Linked DNA regions of Arabidopsis thaliana. The protein of the gene in region 3 interacts with the protein of the main gene of each other region in a biochemical or structural test. Each region holds a gene or a part of one and is shown on either strand. Other genes may lie near its edges.

Evidence for each region. Proteins that work in one complex are often made in the same cells at the same time.
Region 1: the proteins of SYP41 (region 3) and ATYKT62 form a complex in vitro, tested with the Arabidopsis thaliana proteins (one study listed by BioGRID).
Region 2: the proteins of SYP41 (region 3) and YKT61 form a complex in vitro, tested with the Arabidopsis thaliana proteins (one study listed by BioGRID).

The regions. Positions count from the first base shown.
Region 1 is NC_003076.8:23,540,345-23,547,277, reverse strand, and holds ATYKT62 (Synaptobrevin family protein), read right to left. Parts: upstream 3,627-6,933; 5' UTR 3,533-3,626; intron 3,278-3,532; 5' UTR 3,268-3,277; coding exon 3,069-3,267; intron 2,978-3,068; coding exon 2,880-2,977; intron 2,798-2,879; coding exon 2,699-2,797; intron 2,597-2,698; coding exon 2,531-2,596; intron 2,382-2,530; coding exon 2,295-2,381; intron 2,172-2,294; coding exon 2,121-2,171; 3' UTR 1,993-2,120; exon of another isoform or gene 1,988-1,992; intron 1,637-1,987; 3' UTR 1,518-1,636; downstream 1-1,517. Other genes in the region: ECT10 (evolutionarily conserved C-terminal region 10), read right to left, coding at 1-127, 203-282, 363-507, 605-642, 790-844; SVL5 (SHV3-like 5), read left to right, coding at 4,186-4,297, 4,381-4,677, 4,760-4,869, 4,960-5,458, 5,535-5,855, 5,944-6,083, 6,155-6,638, 6,728-6,933. UniProt on the Arabidopsis thaliana protein: Involved in the secretory pathway. Essential for membrane fusion mediated by either SYP41 or SYP61; triggers the fusion of phospholipid vesicles containing SYP41 or SYP61 and VTI12.
Region 2 is NC_003076.8:23,494,854-23,501,901, forward strand, and holds YKT61 (SNARE-like superfamily protein), read left to right. Parts: upstream 1-3,285; 5' UTR 3,286-3,423; coding exon 3,424-3,616; intron 3,617-3,764; coding exon 3,765-3,838; intron 3,839-3,898; coding exon of another isoform or gene 3,899-3,906; coding exon 3,907-3,996; intron 3,997-4,085; coding exon 4,086-4,190; intron 4,191-4,406; coding exon 4,407-4,472; intron 4,473-4,683; coding exon 4,684-4,770; intron 4,771-5,207; exon of another isoform or gene 5,208-5,224; coding exon 5,225-5,275; 3' UTR 5,276-5,531; downstream 5,532-7,048. Other genes in the region: SVL4 (SHV3-like 4), read right to left, coding at 27-510, 583-722, 811-1,131, 1,208-1,706, 1,797-1,906, 1,989-2,285, 2,422-2,533; TIL (temperature-induced lipocalin), read right to left, coding at 5,659-5,844, 5,929-6,303; RR18 (response regulator 18), read right to left, coding at 6,932-6,997. UniProt on the Arabidopsis thaliana protein: May be involved in the secretory pathway. Essential for membrane fusion mediated by either SYP41 or SYP61; triggers the fusion of phospholipid vesicles containing SYP41 or SYP61 and VTI12.
Region 3 is NC_003076.8:9,486,694-9,494,400, reverse strand, and holds SYP41 (syntaxin of plants 41), read left to right. Parts: upstream 1-3,308; 5' UTR 3,309-3,796; coding exon 3,797-3,996; intron 3,997-4,180; coding exon 4,181-4,457; intron 4,458-4,556; coding exon 4,557-4,646; intron 4,647-4,879; coding exon 4,880-4,951; intron 4,952-5,047; coding exon 5,048-5,122; intron 5,123-5,239; coding exon 5,240-5,305; intron 5,306-5,397; coding exon 5,398-5,478; intron 5,479-5,569; coding exon 5,570-5,677; 3' UTR 5,678-6,268; downstream 6,269-7,707. Other genes in the region: AT5G26990 (Drought-responsive family protein), read right to left, coding at 762-870, 1,121-1,383, 1,704-1,781, 2,059-2,201, 2,960-3,035; AT5G26970 (uncharacterized protein), read left to right, coding at 7,015-7,341. UniProt on the Arabidopsis thaliana protein: Contributes to the regulation of secretory and vacuolar transport pathways in the post-Golgi network, and to the maintenance of the Golgi apparatus and trans-Golgi network (TGN) morphologies. Together with VTI12, required for membrane fusion.

The DNA of each region.
Region 1 (6,933 bases), about 14 Mb from region 3:
CACCAAAAGGTTGTGGGTAATAAGCTGGGGAGACTGGAATTTGTCCCTCCAACATTACAGAAGGATAAGGGTTAAATCCATAACCAGGATATTGGTACATAAGAGATGAATTGTCATTGTAGACAACCTGAGGATAAAGAATAACTAAGTTAATTAAGTAGCAAGAGGAAGATAGAACATAAATAGGGCAAGTCATACTAACCGGTGGCACATGCATGGCTTCAGGGGTAGTAGTAGCATATCGTGGATATCCATCCCAAGTATTGATGCCTTGTGCATAGCCTAGAGAAAACACAACAATGCAATGAGCACTTACAGATTTTGTTTGATTTATTAGAAGAGAGAAGAAGACAAAAAATTACCAGAATTTGCGATATCCCAATCGTAGTGATAGAGATTGGTAGGGGTTTGAAGAACGTTATAATAAGGAGCGGGATCAGGAGAAGGAACCACGGAAGAACTATAAGACGAAGAAACAATGTTCCTTCCATCGTCGTGAGAAACCTGCTGGTGGTGAAAGGAACAACGCATTTTAAACCTAGGATGGTGGTTTTACAATAATTCAAAATAGAAGAAGAAGAAGAAGAAGATTGAATTAAATTACCTGTTGGACGCCATTATCAGCCATCACTGGTCTTTCCCCTGCGAGAGAAGTCAACATATCTCGTCAGAAGTAGAAACAGAACATCAACGGCTCTATAATGTTCTAGGGTTTGGGTTCAATTGGGGGATTTTGTTCATGGAGATCGAAGAGATACGAAAAGAAAAATGAGGGGGAAAAGAGTGTACCAGAAGAGACGATTCGGTTGCGCTGATTTGAGGAAGAAGAAGAAGCGGGATCCATGGAGGAGATCTGAGAGAGCGAGAGATCGGAGAGGTTTTTGTGAGATTAGAGAGGAGAATTTTGAAAGACTATTGCAACTGTTGTGGGCCCGTTATGAGTTAATACGAAAAATATTAGAGAGGTTCCTTCCTTTTAAAGCGGTTTGGTTTTGAGCCTTTTCGTTTTTCAATGTTAGTAGTAGTAGTCCCATTAACTGTACCATACCACTTTTCTTCTTCAGATTTGTGCAATGCTTTTTTCTCACAAAGTCACAATTCCCCTTAAGACAAAAATTCAAAAGAACATTTGTAACCAATGCAGAGGTTGAATTAAATTATCATAGATTCGAGTCTTTGATCCGTTACGAAAATTTGAATGTTTAGAGTGTCTGTACTCGACTATTTGTCACGAAAATTTGAATATTTAGACTGTTTAGATTTTACTAGCCGTTACGAAAATTAGAATGTTATAGAGTATCTAGATTCGATTATAAAATCTTGAGTTTGTATTCTTTTTCTTTTGTAACGCCTAATTCATTGATTGCATCGAAATGAGAGTCGATACAATCAATGTACATTAAAAGTATGCAATACATATACACATCAACATACATAGTTAAACTTGAAAGTAAGCCGTGAAAAATTGAACTTATATAATGTTTTCCGATACAATAGCTTTACTAGTTAACAAATTATTAATTATGTTAATTTTATTTATATAATTTTTTATCCCAATATGATGAAACTGTCATTCTTAGCTAACATCTCTTGGATAAAAACTACACATTACAGAAAAAAAAAACCAAAAAAAAAACTACACATTAGTCTAAATGATTTATGGTATATTATCTTTCACCAGTTTGTTTGTTTTTCTGATTCCATTATCGCTAATGTGGCATTTATTAATTTGTCACACTGCAAGCTCTTTCCATGCCTTATACGATCACGAACATTCATAAGCTGTGGGCCAACTTTGAGTGCAAAATGGGACTTCAAAGGCCCTACACTACTTATAGATGAAAGTGGCCATTTGGTGAGGACTGTATGACTTTCGTGTTTACCCAATTTTCACATTCGTGCTTCAAATCTATCCTTGTATGTGTGTGTGCGTCTTCTCTATTATTCCATAAAATGCATGACCAAAATCATTGATCTTTTTTCCCACATAACAAAAAAAAAAAAAACTAAAACCTGACATGGAACAACTTATTCCTTGAGATATGTTCATAAGTTCATAGAAAGCAGTTCAAGTAGGGTAGACTATTCTATAGAGGGACATTCAAGAGTTGCATTACAGCTTAGAGAAGTGTACAACATGAGTTTGTTTTCTTCGCTTGCTTGTAAAACATCTGTTTCATCCAAACACCAAAACAAACCAATATTCTCATGTCAGAAACTATTTCATCTATCTCCCATTACCCTCAGAATCCACTGAAGAAACAGTAGTAAGTAATACTAGGGTGGAATGTTACCTTCGATGCCAGGCTTAACTCTGAGCTCTTCTCCACTAAGCTGTCCAGCTTTTCACCTCGGGCTAGGACACCATCAATGGTTTTATGCTGTAGTATAAAACAAAAGTCAGCATAAAACGACCATGTTTAAGCGACCTTGGAAACAAGAACTTAATGGAGGGAACTGGTATGTATTGGAATGTAAAAAGGAAGCAAAGCATGCAGGTCAACAATCAAGAACCAGGGACGGCACTTACAAGGATAATCTTGGTCTCATCCAATTCCCTCTGGATTTTCAACAGCTTATCAGCTTCTGCCGGGTCCTGAAGATATTCCAAAAAAAAGTAAGAATAATTGACACAGCAAATAGTTCCTAAAGTCTTAAACAAGATTCATAGATACAAAAAAGTTAGTGCTTCTAGAACCCGAAATTTGTCTGAAGCTTCTTTTAAGTATGGCCACGGCTGACTAGAGTTTTCAAACCTCCATGTGTCACCATAATCCTTCTGGTATACATCTAATACCTGTCAAAAACAGAATGCCAACGAAAGAAAAAATATTTTCCTTCAAACAAGACCGTACCAGAAGTTAGATTTTGTTTTGTACCTGATTGAGAAGAGAAAAGGCACTTCGAACGGGATAATGGTCGTCCATGAATCCTACGGCGCAGAGGCCATTTATGTTGTAAGCGTGCACTTTATACTCTACATATCAACACAGCGATGTCAATTACAAAATTATAAACAGGACACATATATATGACAGATCCAAGAGCCAAAAAAAAAGAAGAAGAACCTTCGTGTTTGACGGATTGGCGCTGACCTGGAGGGGTTCTTCTGGCAACAGTACGGGCAATGAATACAATGAACTCTTCGAAGTTAGAGCGATAAAAAGAGAATTTTCCGAATTGTGAGAGGTCGGAAACGTTGGCCAGGATAACGGGTTCGCGTGTTTCGGGATCGCACTTGAGAACGAGCAAGGCAGTGATCTTCATGACAAGGGTTCTGAATCATGAAACAGAACCAATGAAGTTCCAGTGAGTTTATTTTACTATGAGCTAAAAACGTAAAAAAAACAAAGTCACAGTTGGTGAGAGACTAATTTTGTTACTATACAATCATAAGACAGAAACTCGAAAAAAAACATAGCTTTTGAAACAACAAGGAGAGAGTAGACGAGATAAAGAGTGTTCGAGCAGATATGTTATAAGAGACAGAGAAGAAGCTAAAGAGAGAAGAAGCAAGATAGAGAGGTGTTACCGGGGCAGAGAGTAGACAAGACAGATGAGACGAGATCGACAATACGATGTATAGATGCAGAGAGGAGAGTTGAATCGTTGTTGAATTCCAGAGACCTTTTTAGTTAAGGGACCTTTCAGGGTTAGGCCATATAGAAAAAAAAAAATTAAAATTTTATTTATTAATATAACGAAATTATTTTTAATATTTGTTCGTGTTACTAATTTATATACGTAAGTGAAAAATGGAGGATATATTTTAGTATATATTTTTTTGATACGTCAAGGTCTCAATGAACGACAGAAACGCGGTAAGAGAGAAAGGAGAGATAAAAATAGGTGTGGATGAGTTGTTTGATCCATAAATGGGATGGCCAAGTTTCTTTCTTACTATTAATTAACTAACTTGTTTTTCTTCATTCCAATTTTGAAACCCCTTCTTTCTTTGGCCCCAAGCTTCCGTTTTTCTTCATCTTATTCTTTCAAAATCTCAAACCCATAAGGGAAAAAGAAGCATAAAGAGGCAGAAGAGGAAGGTGGTCATATGTTCTTGCTTTCGCCTTGTGAGATCTCTTTACTTGTCTCTCTCGCCTCTTTCACATTTTCTTAAATTTTAAAGTTTCTATCTTATGATAGCTTTTCTTTTGTGTTACAAACAGGATCAATCATACAGAGATGCTGAGGTTTATCATATTTTTCTCCCTTTTTATACACTTATGTGTTGCAGCCCCCCAGACTCCTGCTGCTGCCGCGGCGGTTCCTGCTAAGAAATGGCTCACCCTTAATGGTAAGTATCCTTCTCAATCCCCATATTACATAACCTGCTCTTTGTTTGTTTCTAAGAATCCGTACCTGTCTTTTATCTTCCAGGACAAGAGCCTGCCGTTGTGGCCAGAGGGGGCTTCTCGGGTCTTTTCCCTGAGTCAAGCGCCTCTGCAAACGACTTGGCTATTGGCACCAGCTCGCCTGGCCTCACAATGTTGTGCAACCTTCAGATGACTAAGGACGGTGTGGGCCTTTGCTTGTCAGATATCATACTTGACAATGCAACCACCATATCTTCAGTCTTCCCTAAAGCCCAGAAGACCTACAAGGTCAACGGTCAGGACCTCAAGGGATGGTTTGTCCTTGATTACGATGCCGACACCATCTTCAACAATGTCACTTGTATGTCTTCTTCTCTTTCATTTCATCCCTTCAATGCTCACCACCACGACCACACATTTTCATCTTTTATGTTATTGTGCAGTGGTCCAGAACATCTTCTCTCGGCCTAGCATCTTCGACGGCCAAATGTCGGTTTCCGCAGTGGAGGACGTCCTTGGAACCAAGCCTCCCAAGTTTTGGTTGAGCGTTCAGGTATGTTTTCTTCTCTTTGAGAACATGATTAACCAACATATGGAGCTTTTTTGTTGATTCATCAAAACAACAAACAATGCAAATGTGCAGTACGATGCCTTCTACATGGAACACAAGCTGAGCCCAGCCGAGTACCTGAGAAGCTTGCAATTCCGCGGCATTAATGTCATCTCATCTCCAGAGATTGGTTTCTTGAAGAGCATCGGGATGGACGCGGGCAGGGCCAAGACAAAGCTCATATTCGAGTTCAAAGACCCAGAGGCAGTTGAGCCCACCACCAACAAGAAGTACAGTGAGATTCAGCAGAACCTCGCAGCCATCAAGGCCTTTGCTTCAGGCGTTCTTGTGCCCAAAGACTACATTTGGCCCATTGACTCAGCTAAGTACCTTAAGCCCGCCACCACTTTTGTGGCTGATGCCCACAAAGCCGGTCTAGAGGTCTATGCTTCAGGGTTTGCCAATGACTTGCGCACCAGCTTTAACTACAGCTATGATCCCTCCGCTGAGTATCTCCAGTTTGTGGACAATGGCCAGTTTTCTGTTGATGGCGTCATTACTGATTTCCCGCCAACAGCATCACAATCCATCAGTGAGATGACTTGCTATATACGTTTCCTCAGATAGCTGATTATTAAGAAGAAGCTAAAGCGTCTGTTTTCTTGCAGCTTGCTTTTCTCACCAAAATGGCAATCTCCCCAAAGCAGGGCATGCGTTGGTTATAACTCACAATGGAGCAAGCGGAGACTATCCAGGCTGCACTGATCTGGCTTACCAGAAAGCAGTCGATGATGGAGCAGACGTGATCGACTGCTCTGTTCAGATGTCTAAAGACGGAATCGCTTTCTGCCATGATGCTGCAGACCTTACAGCAAGTACCACCGCCATGACTATTTTCATGTCCCGAGCCACAAGCGTTCCTGAGATCCAGCCTACCAATGGCATTTTTTCTTTTGATCTTACATGGGCTGAGATCCAGTCTGTGAAGCGTAAGAAACTGATTTGTTTTACTATAGACTTCTGAAACTATCTCATTCTCAACTAAGTCACTGAGCATTGGGATATCTTTGTATTCAGCACAAATAGAGAACCCCTTCACTGCCACGGGCTTCCAGAGAAATCCAGCAAACAAAAACGCTGGAAAGTTCATTACTCTTGCGGATTTCCTTGACTTCAGCAAAGCAAAGGCTGTCACCGGAGTTATGATCAACATCGAGGCAAGACTTTGTAACTCCAAAATGCTTCTAAATTTACTCAAGGCAGCTTCTAACGCATTGTTTGTTGACAGAATGCTGCTTACCTAGCCTCAAAGAAGGGCCTAGGAGTCGTAGACGCAGTTAAGTCGGCTCTGGCCAAGTCCACACTCGACAAGCAATCAACTCAGAAAGTTTTGATTCAGTCAGATGACAGTTCGGTCCTGGCCAGTTTTGAGGCTGTCCCTCCGTACACGAGAGTCTTGAGCATTGACAAGGAAATCGGAGGTGCTCCCAAGCCATCAGTCGATGAAATCAAGAAGTACGCAGAAGCTGTCAATCTCTTGAGAACTTCCCTAGTCACTGTCTCCCAAAGTTTTACCACAGGGAAGACTAACGTTGTGGAGGAAATGCACAAAGGGAATATCTCTGTTTATGTTTCAGTGCTAAGAAACGAGTACATCTCCGTAGCGTTCGACTACTTCTCTGACCCTACAATAGAGCTTGCCACATTCATTTCAGGGAGTGGCGTTGATGGAGTCATCACGGAGTTCCCTGCCACCGCTACCAGATACTTAAGTAAGTTTAAACCTCGACAAGGTCATGAAAGAACAATAGATATACAAAACAAAGATAAAGCTGATCATTTATATTTGATGCAAATGCAGAGAGTCCATGCTCAGATTTGAACAAAGAACAGCCCTATGCAATCTTACCAGCAGAAGCCGGTGGTCTAGTCGTCGTGGCAGACAAGGAAGCACAACCACCAGCTAGTGCCCCAAACCCGCCTCTTGAGGCCAAAGACGTGATTGATCCGCCTCTGCCTCCAGTTGCAAACTTGGCTGCCTCCAATGCAACTGGAGGAGCTCAGTCA
Region 2 (7,048 bases), about 14 Mb from region 3:
GTTTTTTTGTAGAAGTTTAAACTTACTTAGGTATCTGGTAGCGGTGGCAGGGAACTCCGTGATGACTCCATCAACGCCTCTCCCTGCAATGAATGTTGCAAGCTCTATCGTAGGATCAGAGAAGTAGTCGAACGCTATGGCGATGTACTCATTTCTTAGCACCGAGACGTATACAGAGATATTCGCTTTGTGCATTTCCTCTACCACATTAGTTTTCCCCGTGGCAAAGCTTTGGGAGACGGTGATGAGGGAAGTTCTCAAGAGATTGACAGCATCTGCATGCTTCTTGATTTCTTCGATGGATGTCTTAGGAGCATCTCCGATCTCCTTGTCGATACTCAAGACTCTTGTGTAAGGAGGGACAGCCTCGAAACTAGATAGAACTGAACTGTCATCCGACTGAATCAAAACCTTCTGGGTTGATTGCTTGTCGAGTGTGGAATTTGTAAGAGCAGACTTGACTACGTCTACGACTCCTAAGCCTTTCTTCGAGGCTAAATAAGCAGCATTCTGTCAACAAAAACAGTGTTAGTGGAGCTTCCTTGTGTTAGTCAAGGAGCATTTGGAAGTTAAATGGCTTGCCTGAATGTTGATTAAAACTCCGGTGACTGCCTTTGCTTTGCCGAGCTCAAGGAAGTCCGCAAGAGTCGTGAACTTCCCGGCGTTCTTGTTTGCGGGGTTTCTCTGGAAGCCCGTGGCAGTGAAGGGGTTTTCTATTTGTGCTGAAGACAAAGATATCCCAATGCTCAGTGACTTAGTTGAGAATAAGATTAGTTTAAGAAATCTATAGAAAAGAAATCAGTTTCTTACGCTTCACAGACTGGATCTCGGCCCATGTAAGATCAAAAGAGAAGATTCCGTTGGTAGGCTGGATCTCAGGAACGCTGGTGGCTCGGGACATGAAAGTAGTCCTGGCGGTGGTACTTGCTGAGAGGTCTGCAGCATCATGGCAGAAAGCGATTCCGTCTTTGGACATCTGAACAGAGCAGTCAATTATGTCTGCTCCATCGTCGATTGCTTTCTGGTAAGCCAGATCAGTGCAGCCTGGATAGTCTCCGCTTGCTCCATTGTGAGTTATAACCAATGCATGCCCTGCTTTGGGGAGATTGCCGTTTTGGTGAGAAAAGCAAGCTGCAAGAAAACAGACGCTTTAGCTTCTTCTTAATAATCAGCTATCTGAGGAAACATATATAGCAAGTCATCTCACTGATTGATTGTGATGCTGTTGGCGGGAAATCGGTGATGACACCATCAACAGAGAACTGGCCATTGTCCACAAACTGGAGATACTCAGCAGAGGGATCATAGCTGTAGTTAAAGCTGGTGCGCAAGTCGTTGGCAAACCCTGAAGCATAGACCTCTAGACCGGCTTTGTGAGCATCAGCCACAAAAGTGGTGGCGGGCTTAAGGTACTTAGCTGAGTCAATGGGCCAAATGTAGTCTTTGGGCACAAGAACGCCTGAAGCAAAGGCCTTGATGGCTGCGAGGTTCTGCTGAATCTCGCTGTACTTCTTGTTGGTGGTGGGCTCAACTGCCTCGGGGTCTTTGAACTCAAATATGAGCTTTGTCTTGGCCCTGCCCGCGTCCATCCCGATGCTCTTCAAGAAACCAATCTCTGGAGATGAGATGACATTAATGCCGCGGAATCGCAAGCTTCTCAGGTACTCGGCTGGGCTCAGCTTGTGTTCCATGTAGAAGGCATCGTACTGCACATTTGCATTGTTTGTTGTTTTGATGAATCAACAAAAAAGCTCCATATGTTGGTTAATCATGTTCTCAAAGAGAAGAAAACATACCTGAACGCTCAACCAGAACTTGGGAGGCTTGGTTCCAAGGACATCCTCCACTGCAGAAACCGACATTTGGCCGTCGAAGATGCTAGGCCGAGAGAAGATGTTCTGGACCACTGCTCAATAATACAAAACATGAAAATGTGTGGTGGTGGTGGTGAGCATTGAAGGGAGGAAATGAAAGAGAAGAAGACATACGAGTGACTTTGTTGAATATGGTGTCGGCATCGTAATCAATGACAAACCAGCCCTTGAGGTCCTGACCGTTGACCTTGTAGGTCTTCTGGGCTTTGGGGAAGACCGAGGAGATGGTGGTTGCATTGTCAAGTCTGATATCTGACAAGCAAAGGCCCACACCGTCCTTAGTCATCTGAAGGTTGCACAACATTGTGAAGCCAGGCGAGCTGGTGCCAATAGCCAAGTCGTTTGCAGAGATGCTTGACTCAGGGAAAAGACCCGAGAAGCCCCCTCTGGCCACAACGGCAGGCTCTTGTCCTGGAAGACAAAAGACAGGTACGGATTCTTAGAAACAAACAAACAACATGGTATCTTAAGTCTTAACATTAAACAACAACAAAAAAAAAAACATGGTAGTATGCAATATGGGCATACTCTGTAAAAGGATGCTTACCGTTAAGGGTAAGCCATTTCTTGGCAGGAACAGCTGCGGCAGCAGCAGGAGTCTTGGGTGCCGCAACAGAAGAGTGTAAGAAAAGGGAGAAAAGAATGAAAAACCTCAGCATCTCTATCTGATTGATCCTGCATTTGTGTGTAACGTACGTACCCCAATGGAAAAGCAAAGTCAGGATACATGTAACAAAAACAGAATTGTCACATTTAAGAAAATTGTGAAAGAGAGATCTTACAGCGAGAAAAGAACATGAATCCCCTCTCCTGCTTGTTTTCCTCGTTTAGTTAGAGGAAAGGAAAAAGAAGAGAAAGAGGAGATGGGTCAAACAAGGTTAATTAATGGTAAAAAAAAGTAACTTGCTCTCATATCCTCCATTTATGGCCATTTACTCCTTTCTATTTTTATCTCTTCTTCTCCACCATTCCCTTCTTAACCGCTTTTTCTTTTTTTGATGCTTTCTTACATCTTCTTTGCACAAATGGGTGTAACACCCCTCAGTTTTGGACTTTGTACTATATTCATTTGTCATACATGTATGTAGTTAAAATGACAATATTAGAGTTTGGCATTCGGACCAAACCAAGTTGTCCGATCTAAACCAAACCAATATTCCGTTAATAAGAAAACTCGATTGGCAAAAATTAAAATATTCTTTGGTTTCAGTTTTTGCCTAGACTTAAAATTCTTAAAAATCCAATTCTATGTGATGGAAAAATCTTTGATTCCGGTCCAATTCTGCATCAATATATGCTAAACCGAACCGAGACTGCCCACATAAAATTGAATTGAACCAAAGGTTTTTAATTTTTACTTCAACATAGCGAATAAGAAAAAGAGGGTATATATTCATTATTCAATGTTAATGAGAAGGCGTCTGCGTTTGGTTCGACACCTCAAAACTTGTTTTGCCTTTAGCATCTCCGAGTAAGGAATCCAGGTCCAAAGCCTCTTCTCTTCCTCCTCCTCGCTTCCTTCTCACGCAACCTTGGATCCACCGCAGCTATGAAGATCACCGCCTTGCTCGTTCTCAAGTGCGCTCCCGAAGCTTCTGATCCCGTCATCCTCTCCAACGCTTCGGACGTCTCTCACTTCGGTTATTTCCAGCGATCTAGCGTCAAGGAGTTCGTCGTCTTTGTCGGTCGCACTGTCGCTAGCCGAACCCCTCCTTCCCAACGCCAGTCTGTTCAACACGAAGGTTCTTCTCCTTCTTCTTCTACCTCTCTAGATCGATTGTTTTCAAATCTTCTTTCTCCCGGATCTAATGCAATCTCCTTTCCTCTTTGATTTTTATTCGATTTCTAAATTCGGATCGGCTTTTCGATTTTGAAACTTTTATGATTTAGGATGTGCACCGTTTCTGATTCTAGATCTTCCTGGACTATGCCCCGGCTTTAATTTCTTGCGATTCTATCTTATTGTTCTAGTCCTCGAATTTGGGATAATTAGGGTTCGTGTTTTTATTTTGTTTTTGGTTTAGAGTACAAGGTTCACGCTTACAATAGAAATGGCCTTTGCGCGGTGGGTTTCATGGACGATCATTACCCTGTTCGAAGTGCTTTCTCTCTTCTCAATCAGGTAATATCATTATGTTGAAAGTGGTTCTCAATGCATCATTCGTAAGTTTTCCTGTAATTTGGGTTGCTTGACATTTAATTTTGTCTCAGGTCCTAGATGAGTACCAGAAGAGTTTTGGTGAGTCATGGAGGTCTGCAAAAGAAGACTCCAATCAGCCTTGGCCATACTTAACCGAAGCTTTAAACAAATTTCAGGTTCTTCACTTGTGCAACTGTATTCGCTCTTTTACTGTGAATTTTGTTAAAACTGTAGTTATATTAAGCTCAGTTAGGTGGACATTAGAATCCAATCGAATGATTCATTCTTCATGAATTAATTTTAGTAGCCCCCATTGTTTTATGACCATGTTGGATTTTGAGTGATTTGATCTTAAATTGATTTTGGGATTGTCCCGTATTTGTAATCTTCAGGACCCAGCAGAGGCTGATAAGCTGTTGAAAATCCAGAGGGAGTTGGATGAGACAAAGATTATCCTTGTAAGTGCTGTCTCCGGTCCTTTCTTGTAGACCCTTATACATAAGCGGTACTTCCTTTTCTAAGTTTCAGTATACTTGCCAATTATACATAAATGCTGTTCTGTCGGTGAGTTTACTTTCTTCTGAAAAACACCAAAACAAGAAGAAAGTCTTGGTAGTTATGATGGATGTCCCTGTCTCCGTAAGACTGATTTTTTGTTCTGTATTGTAGCATAAAACCATTGATAGTGTTCTAGCCCGTGGTGAGAAGCTGGACAGCCTAGTGGAGAAGAGCTCAGATTTGAGCATGGCATCACAGGTAACATTCTAAAGTCACATTCTAGAAATTCTTATAGATTTAGTTTCCTTTTTTCCCTGTCTCGATCTCTGAGCATAGTTGGTGAACACGTTAGAAAGGGTTGTTGATTTAGCAGGCTTATAAGTGTTGTTGATTGATAGAGGAACTATTGCATGTTATTGTTGGGGTAGATAAATAGAGGAAGAATGTGGATTTAGAATACCTTCTTTGAAAAAGCTTTCTGCTTCAGCCTGCAGACATTTGAGTGCAGTTTGAACTATACAGTTGGATTTTGGAATTATTAGGTTTGCTACGAAGAATCATAGTGTTTTTTGCTATATCATCTGACCATGGGGAGGAACATATGTATTAGTCATATCCTCTGGAATCTCAAGATATTCTTCGTTATTTAGATTAGGTAAACCATGTTTACTTCCAACATGAAAATCTGATTTGGTTGTATTGGTTGGAACAGATGTTTTACAAGCAAGCGAAGAAAACAAATTCATGCTGTACTATTCTGTGAGCTGGAAGTCCTGCTGGGTATATAGTCAACCAAACTTTTGCTGGGGGGAGACTGTTTTTTCTATCGTCTTATCTATACATATAATTCCGTCTGTAGTTTGCATGCATTATTTTGATTCCATAAGTCTCGAGTCGTGTGGTGTGTTTATCCAAATACATAATGTCAACTTCTGCAAGATTTGAATTGTCTTTCCCAGATTTGATCTGATTGAATTTGTGTGCGCTTCCTTATGGTAAAAGAGACGACTTTGCATAACTAGATGAAGATGTCGTAAATAGACAAAAGCAGATGATGGAAGATAACTAGAGTAGACAAAGGGGGTAGTATATTACACAGACAAAAGGATCAAAGAGGTGAAACAAAGTCTTTGTGTGCCGTGTAATCTATTTGCCGAAGAGAGATTTGAACCACCAAACGCCCTTGGAGTCTTCAGGGGCAGTGTTGGACTCAGGTGGTGTGTCACTCTGAGGAGTCTTGTGAAGCTTGCTGATGTCATAACCTTCCTCCACTGCCTTCTCCACCAGCTGCTTATACGTCTCTTCCTCCATTTGCGCCGTCCTGCTCAATATCTACACCACCCACATATACAGAGTCAATCATTTTTGGGATCAATTTCGATTATTCGTTAAAGAGAAAAAAAAAAGAGTACCAACCCAGAGATAACTCCTGGAAGGCTGGCCAATGAGAGCGTGCTGGTAGTCAGGATCGATGTAGAGCACCCAGTAGTCTCCGGTGACGGGAATGATTGGGAGGAAAGGAGGGACATAGAACTTGACTTTGAGCTTGGCTTCGTCGCTTTTAGGATCGGCCTTATAGGCGCTGCCTTCGATAAAACCCCTCTTCCCGTTGCTCCACGTTTCGTTCAAGACGTGTATGGTACCGTCGGGGTTAAGGGTGTAGGTGGCGCGAGTGTCGACGCCGTTCTTTGGCTGAAACCTTGATGGGAAAGAAGCAATCTCGTACCAACGGCCCATGTATCTCTCCACGTTGAGCCCTTTCACCACTTCCATCTCTTTCTTCTCTGTCATTTCTCTTCTTTTTCTTTTCTTCTTCTCTAAGATTTCGATGTTTTCTTTGAGGTAAAAGGATAAGAAGAGATTCTGTTCTTTATAAGGAAATAAAAAAATAATATCAAGGAGATTTCGCTGGGACGAGAGGATGCCACGTGGAAAGCGTGTAGGGCAAGGGTTCTAGTAGCGTCTAGCAGTTACAAATGTGAATAAAGGTGGAGGACACAAATGTCTTCCTTGTTCTGTGGGAAGAAGGATACAATACAATGGGCCATACAGTCACATTTTGATTTGACTTCCTCTAGCCGTTTCTAGGCCCCACCAAATTATCCTATCGACATCTAAATATCTCTTCTTGTTGACACTTCAAAATAGCTCCATATGTAAACCAACGATCTCAATTAGGCCCATTACTATTCGTATATTGGTTTTGAATAACAACACTTATTCAGAAACTTTATAAAATAAATTTTTGTAACAGGCTCGCTTTCAATTCCAATTCATAAAAGAGAGTATGAAACAGGTTGGTGTACTATGATCTATTGACAGTCGGAGGAAACAATGTGGGAAGAAATTTAAAAAAATCACATGAAAATGGTCTCAAGTGGAGAAACTTAATGCAACTGGTAGAGAAAGAGATGACTAGCTAAGGTGGAGGAAATGAATCAAAGCCAAATCTAGTAGCCACTGGCACCATTCCGTTATTCTCCTCCTGCAACAAACACATTCACTTTCATTTTCTACAAACTACAAAAGCTTTTAA
Region 3 (7,707 bases):
CTTAGGTTAGAAACCTGTTTTCAATATGGACAAAACAGAAATATCAGGAACTCAAGTGACGACGTGTACATTATATTGTTTGGTACACCAAAAAGTCCCACATCGGAAGCATATATTGGCTTCATAGGTTTTGCTTGGCTATAAATTAAGAGGCTCTCACTCTGTAGAAAGTCATCTTTGCGCTTGGGGCAATGACGCAGCTAATGAGGTCTTAACCGAGGCGCGTCTATTGCTGGTTGAAAACTATTTCCAAACCCCCTCCTAGGCCTAAGCTTGTCTTGGGCCTTCGAGAATTTCTGGAAGAGCTCCCTTCCGGGTAAAGCTCTACAATTCTTAGTTCAATTTTTATCCTTTAGGTTATGTCCTTGTCTAGTTGGTTGGTTTACACATTTTTAATTTGTCAAAACCGAAAATTAAAACTCTGCGATCTTTCTAACCCCAAATAGTTTCATCAAACTTTTGATACAAAACACCATAGTAAGACCAGAAAACTCAGTGCAAATATATGATCAAATACATACCTTTTTTTGGTTTCTTTTTGTAAGACCTACGGTGTACAGACAATTCGAGTGTTCATTAAAGCAAATATGTAGTTCATAAGTTAAAAATAATACTCATTATCATGTCTCTCTTTTACATTATTCTGCTTATTCCCAAACCCTTTCCCAAATCAATTGTTGCGTTTAACACAACAAAGCCGTTACATTTTCCAATCGCTGAATCATCTAACCGTAGACAAGTTACCGGAATATGTTTCTCCTTTATAAGCCGTCTTCAAGAATCATAGAGCTCAATATCCCTTGAACGAACTCGCTCTGTTTCAACTTTTCTCTGTGATCCTCTGCTGAAAGAGACTGCTTCTCAACATTCCTGTATAAGACAGATCAAGACAAGAACCATCATAACAAACTCTGCAATTTGCATTTCTACAACAACAACAAAAAAAACACTCAGATCACAAGAGCTTTTAGGTTATTGGTAAAACAAGGGATCAACTAAATTCCATTAAGGCTCATAAAAACTAAGGATGAGTAATATGCGATGACTTAACAAGAATGATCAAGAAATCAATGAGGATATCATCCAGAAGTGTAATCCAAATGAGAATGTGGAAGCATACCTTTCAGGCAAACTCTGATTCAATGTTTTCTTGGCAGAACTTGTGTCTGCACATAGACTTGACTCAGAAATGAAAAAGTCATCAGCCATTGGTGAAATGAATGAAGACAGTAAAGGATCAGCAGCTATACTGGCAGAAGAAGAGGATACAGCACGTGATGTTCCTTCAAATAGGCTCTGAAAATTTCCATCAGGAAACTCTCTCTTCAAGATCGATAGCATGGATTGAGCCCCGCCTCTTCTTGATTTCCTTTTCCGCGTCACGTAATATTTTGTTAAGGAATGTAACTGTTAGAGATAAAATCTTTATTATGATAGTAGAAAAGATAGAACAATAAAGCAACAAGAGTATAAACTCAATAGAATCCTCCAAAGCTCTCAATTGCTTGGTTAGGTTTCACAAACAAAACCTAACCCTTACTTCTAACAGAACATAAATAAAAGACTCTAGGAAAAGTAAATCCTAAACTATTTCCTAAATCATAAATCAGGAAGTATTCATATCATTAACACAACTCATTGGAAGAATCAGATAAGTACATGATCGTTAAAAATATAACTGGTAGAGAGAGCAAAAAGGATATCTTGAACATATTTGCATGTTGTAGGGTTATATGAGCAATCATATCAGAGCTCACTTTCACCGCACAAATGGGACATACCTACAAGATTAACAATGTCAAAACGCAGAATTGAAAACAAATCTTGCTATTGTAGCAATAAACAAGTGTCCTAGAGTTGATTTCTTCTCTGAGGAACACTGAGTGGCAATTCCAAATACTATTTCGACGCATTTCATTAGGTTACTTTCACTTTCTTTATATCCAAGACCAGTAACTACTAAACATAGAACAGTGCTCTTACCAAGAATGATATGATGAAACAATAAATAGATTTTGATTCAAAACGAGAGAAAGGTAACATTGAGGAAATATCTACCCCATTTTTTGCATCCATAGGATGATCTTCATCAATGTGACAGCATAGAGAGACGATATCAAAATAGTCTGAACAGAACGGGCAAGCATACTCCTCCCTGAAGTCATCTTCTCCTTCTATCTCCTCAAACCCCAAGAAATTGTCTGCGTTTTTCAAAAATGAAGAAACTAGTCAAACACGGCCAAGAGAACATTCGAAAATGTGACAACTACAAAACAAAAGCCTAGAAAATAAAATGACAACTACAAAACAAAAGCCTAGAAAATAAAATGGGAAATACTAAAAACGCGTTCCATTCTCGAAGTTCCAATACAAATGGGTTTCAGAAGAAACATCAAAGATATCTAAATAAACGAATGGAAACTAGTAGATCATAAAACCTTCCCTGGCAAAGACGTCTAAGTTTGAGATGAAACTAAAGCTTTTAAAAACGTTTTTACCAACAAGAAGTTTTGTATTTACTTGTAAGTCAAACAAGAATCATCAAGATTCCAGCTTTTGACATTAAGTTCATACCAAAACCTAGAAACAAAACACACACGCTTAATCAATCCCTAAAGCCTCACATTAGTAAAATGCCTCAAAAGACAGAATTTATTTCCTCCATTTTCCTTAAATTCAATATCAGCAAAACAAACATTTGAACAATCACCATTTCAAATATTCAGAACAAGACACAATCAATGTCTTGTCCCATTTTGTTCGGAAAACCAGAACAGTAACAAAAATGTCAATCTCTTACAGTCAATCTCGATCCTTGATCAATTCAAAAGAAAACAAATTTGAGGTCTAAATATCATTGATATTTTTGCAATAGAATCAAGATTAAATTTAAGACAAAACCAATCAAATCTCAAATTAAGAAAGAACAAATCCAAGTTATAATTTTTATCAAACTCACCAGATCGAGACAAGAAATCGAGCTGATATCTTCTTGAAGCCGATGCGAGACGATCACTCCAAGAATCAGAATCCATTTTTTCTACGAAGATTATTACAAATCGAAACCAAAGAATCCACTTTTTCAACAACAACAACAAAAAATCAAATAAATTCCAAGAATCCGAATTGATCTTGAGTCCGGATAAAACAAAAACAGAGATATTCCGATTCAAGAATCAAAAGATTCCGACGAAATGCAAAGACGAAGACGACGACGACGATTTTGCGTCTTTTTTTTCTGGAATTCGTCTTTTTATCTTCTTTTTTTATTATGGTTTTTAATTCTTTGGATATAGAGAGAGAGAGAGAGTGAAAGACATAGAAGAGATGAGTTCTATTACATGTATTAAATTGTTTTTTAACAGCCCGCACGAATGCATGCCGTTTAAACCTTTTACCCGCCGTGTTTTTCCCTTTTGGAATATCAAAACGTCATGCTGTTAGTACGACGCTTACGTGTCGAAATATTATTGGTTTGTATTTGGTAAGCTGGTGAAACAGGACAAAGTTAGCCGCGCAACTGTTTTTTAACTTTTTTTTTTACTGTTTCCAAAGTTTTAAGTTTTGGGGAAATAGTGAAAAGTGAAAACCTCAATTTGCAAATCTGAGAGTTTACTTTCCTCATCGGAAAAAGTTTTGATCTCGCCGCTCTCCGAGCACTTCCTTGTCGGAGTCCCAATTTTTGTGTTCGGTTTTATTCTCGGTCGATGATGAAGCCGCGATTGTGTTCAGATCGGAGCTGATTTCGAATTTGGATGTGAAATTGAGATTCTAGGGATTTCAAATTTTGACGATCATGGCGACGAGGAATCGTACGTTGCTGTTTAGGAAGTACAGAAACTCTCTGAGAAGCGTCAGAGCTCCATTGTCGTCATCTTCATTGACGGGAACACGATCCGGCGGCGTTGGTCCGGTGATCGAGATGGCGAGTACTTCGTTATTGAATCCGAATCGCTCTTACGCTCCTATTAGTACCGAAGATCCTGGAACTTCTAGGTACTCTTCTCTCTCTTTATCAGTGAAAATGGTGAACAATTTGATCAATTAGGGTTAACTGGAAATGATTAGCTTAGCAATGAGAATGATAATACATCATTGATAGTGTAGTTGAAGTAAATGTCTGTGAGCTACGTTAAGCTGAGAGTTAGTAGTTACTGAGATATTTTTGGTCATGTTTTAGTAAAGGTGCGATAACAGTGGGCTTACCACCAGCTTGGGTTGATGTCTCTGAGGAGATATCTGTGAATATACAGCGTGCAAGGACTAAAATGGCTGAGTTGGGAAAGGCTCATGCCAAGGCGTTAATGCCATCGTTTGGGGATGGTAAAGAAGATCAACATAATATTGAGTCTTTGACACAGGAGATAACTTTTCTATTGAAGAAGTCTGAGAAGCAACTTCAGAGGCTTTCTGCTTCAGGGCCTTCTGAAGATTCAAATGTTAGGAAAAATGTGCAGGTAGTTTTGACTTGATGGAAGCTGCTCTTAACACATTTCCTTTCTTTTTGCTGCATTTGCCATTGCTATCTAAGATTTATCATGTGTGTTTAATAACAGCGGTCTCTTGCCACTGACCTCCAACTTCTTTCTATGGAGCTTCGCAAAAAACAGTCAACATATTTGAAACGCTTGAGGCAGCAAAAAGAGGTATGAAACTATTATCTATTTTAGTGTAATTGGCATTTCTTATACCGGAAACTATGTGATGTTGCAGTGTCTCATTCTTTGAAGTTTTTGTTTGCTTTCTGCTCCTCCGCCTCAAATGAAACTTCTTTACATCGATTTCATAGATGATAGATTCTTTTAGTACTTGTTTTTTCAGAGTATATTATTCTGTCCTCTCAAGAAGCTTTGACTTGAAATGTATTATCATTTATCAGGATGGGATGGATTTAGAGATGAATCTGAGCAGAAACAGATATAGACCTGAAGAGGATGACTTTGGCGATATGGTTTGACTCCTATACCTGTTTCATTCTATCGATTTAAAGCAATCATTCGTCTTATGTCTTCTTTATTGATGGAATTTTTTCTCGATTCCTTTTTAGTTAAACGAGCATCAGATGTCAAAGATAAAAAAGAGTGAAGAAGTATCTGTAGAGAGGGAGAAAGAGATACAACAGGCAAGTGCTTGCACTACGTCTTTGTTCTTAGTTGTTTGTAGCTCACCAACGTTTTTTTTTTTCTTTTGCAATCAATCATAATCTTTTTTCTTCTTCGTTGTCTGTGTCATTGTCCAGGTTGTAGAATCAGTAAACGATCTTGCTCAAATTATGAAGGATCTTTCTGCACTTGTGATAGATCAGGTTAAACTTATTTAATCCCATATTCTCTTTGTCTAGCTTTTGAGTCTTCTTCCTTTCGAAAAACAAACTCAAAGCAACCCGTTTAATTGCAGGGTACAATAGTTGATCGGATAGACTATAATATCGAAAACGTCGCTACTACTGTTGAAGATGGTCTCAAACAACTACAGAAGGTAAAAATAGTGTTCTCTCTTCAACATTAATGTCCAACTATTTGTTTGTCCCAATTCTAAATGAAGTGGATCGCATAAAAAAACTTCACAGGCAGAGCGAACGCAGAGACATGGAGGTATGGTGAAGTGCGCATCCGTGCTTGTCATCCTCTGTTTCATCATGCTGCTACTCTTAATCCTCAAGGAAATATTCTTGTGATCGGATACTATAATCCCTGGTTAGATCAATAAGAAAAGTTCGATCCTTAACTATTTCATTCTTTAGCCCCGAACATCGCATGTTTTCCTTCAGGGCTTTTGGTTTCAACTTCTTTGCATTTAACAATACTAAGATCCTTTGCAGAGTAGTTAGTACGTAATATTATTGTGTAGAAGAAGACCATAGATAGTCAGAGGTCGATGTCTGAGGAGTTGAGAGATCTGTGCACCAACGCCAAAATACTCTCTTCACGCTAAAGTCAAGTGTTCTTTTAAAATGTATAAGATTCCAGTCATAGTTGTTGGAACTTGTTTTTGACAAAATGGTTTTGACCATTGTAACTTGTGGATTTTCCGGTGAAGACGTTCATTGGAGTGACCAGATTTCGGGCAAGATGGAATCGTAGCTGCGAGCACTACATGGTGGAGTATTCAAATGTGAAAACGAGTTTGTTTGAAATCTTTTACTTTCCGGTTATTGTATCTTCGCATAAATTACAAATTCTCAACATTCTAGTTCTTTTAAAAACATATATCATTTACAAATGTATAAATATTTTTCACTTGAAACAATGAAAACTTTATACACGTTTTTGTGATGAGTTAATATGAATTAAATTACATCTCAAGTTCTCAACTCTAGTTTGAAATTGGTCATGCCAAATAGCCTAATTGAACTTGTATTGTTATTGTGTCATTATCATGGTTCAAACCCATATTATAATCATACTGTTGACAAAAATTATAATTTTAATATTAAATTTGTGTTATTATTTTTGTAGATAATTAGCTGGAGGGTTTTTAAAAGAAAAATATAAAAAAAAAATTAAATAATGATTATATCAGCGCTTAAAAAAGATAGTATTATCCTGGATAGCACATTATTTTTTTTATCTGTTTCTAATGATTCTTTAAATTACCTTTAAATATAATAAATTACATATCTAAGAATTTTTTAAAATTTATGATAATATTTTATCTTTTTTAAATGTAGCATGTATATAATAAATTTAAAACTTATATTATATATAGTGCTTCAATAAAATCCTTGAACATGTATAACCAAAAAAAAACCTCAAACAACATGTGCATGGATGTTTACCAATTATCATTTAAAATATAGTTATCTTATTTACAATGGATGTTTACCAATTATTGGTTATATATTTATTTACAAAAATAAAATGAAAAAAAGTAGTTGATGGTTTTAGTCTTTTTTTCGCAATAGGGATAATTTTATTGTTTAAGTCAAATATTACATGGATTATGAAATACCCCAGAACAAAAAAGCTACAGAAACATATTAGGCCCAACTAAAGCCCAACAGAGAAACCGTCTATGGAAGAAGAAATATTATCTTTTGTCTCTATCCAAAGCCACGTGTCTTCTGCTGGAGAGAAACCAATACACGTACTGGATGAGAATCCAAAGTTTTCCCGACTTCATCCTTCGCCGTCAAACATCGACTCCGGTGAAGATTCAACGTCGATTAACAAATCAAACATGGAATCTTATGGGTTTTCACCGGTAAAAATAATCGAAGCCCTAATTAGAGAAACAACAGCTCAAGGTAATGTTAATATGCAACGGAAATCACTTTTTTTTCCAACTCAAATCTCTGATTTGTTTCCTGCAATTCTAAACTCAAAAAGAAAAACAGGTTAGATAATAAGTAACAAAAAGCGAAAACCGCTCTATCATTATCACCAACACATCTCAAATGAGATTTATTGAAAGCAAAGCTAATTTATGAAAAAACAAAAAGCAGCAAAAGAACGCTGACGGCATAGCCGACCATCATCACTGTGAAAGCTGAATGATACCGGACAAGAGCTGGCCAACACCGGAAAGAACTGGTAATTGCCAGACGATAATCCCTATCAGAGAAGACGGTAGCCGGAAAAAAATTCGGACGGCAAAGTGAGTTTGAGGTTTCTCTCTCTCTGAAAGAATTTAGAAAGAGAAGAGAGAGAAAAAACTTTGGTACTTAATTAATTATTTAAGTAATTAATTGATGATTTTAGTTTGTCT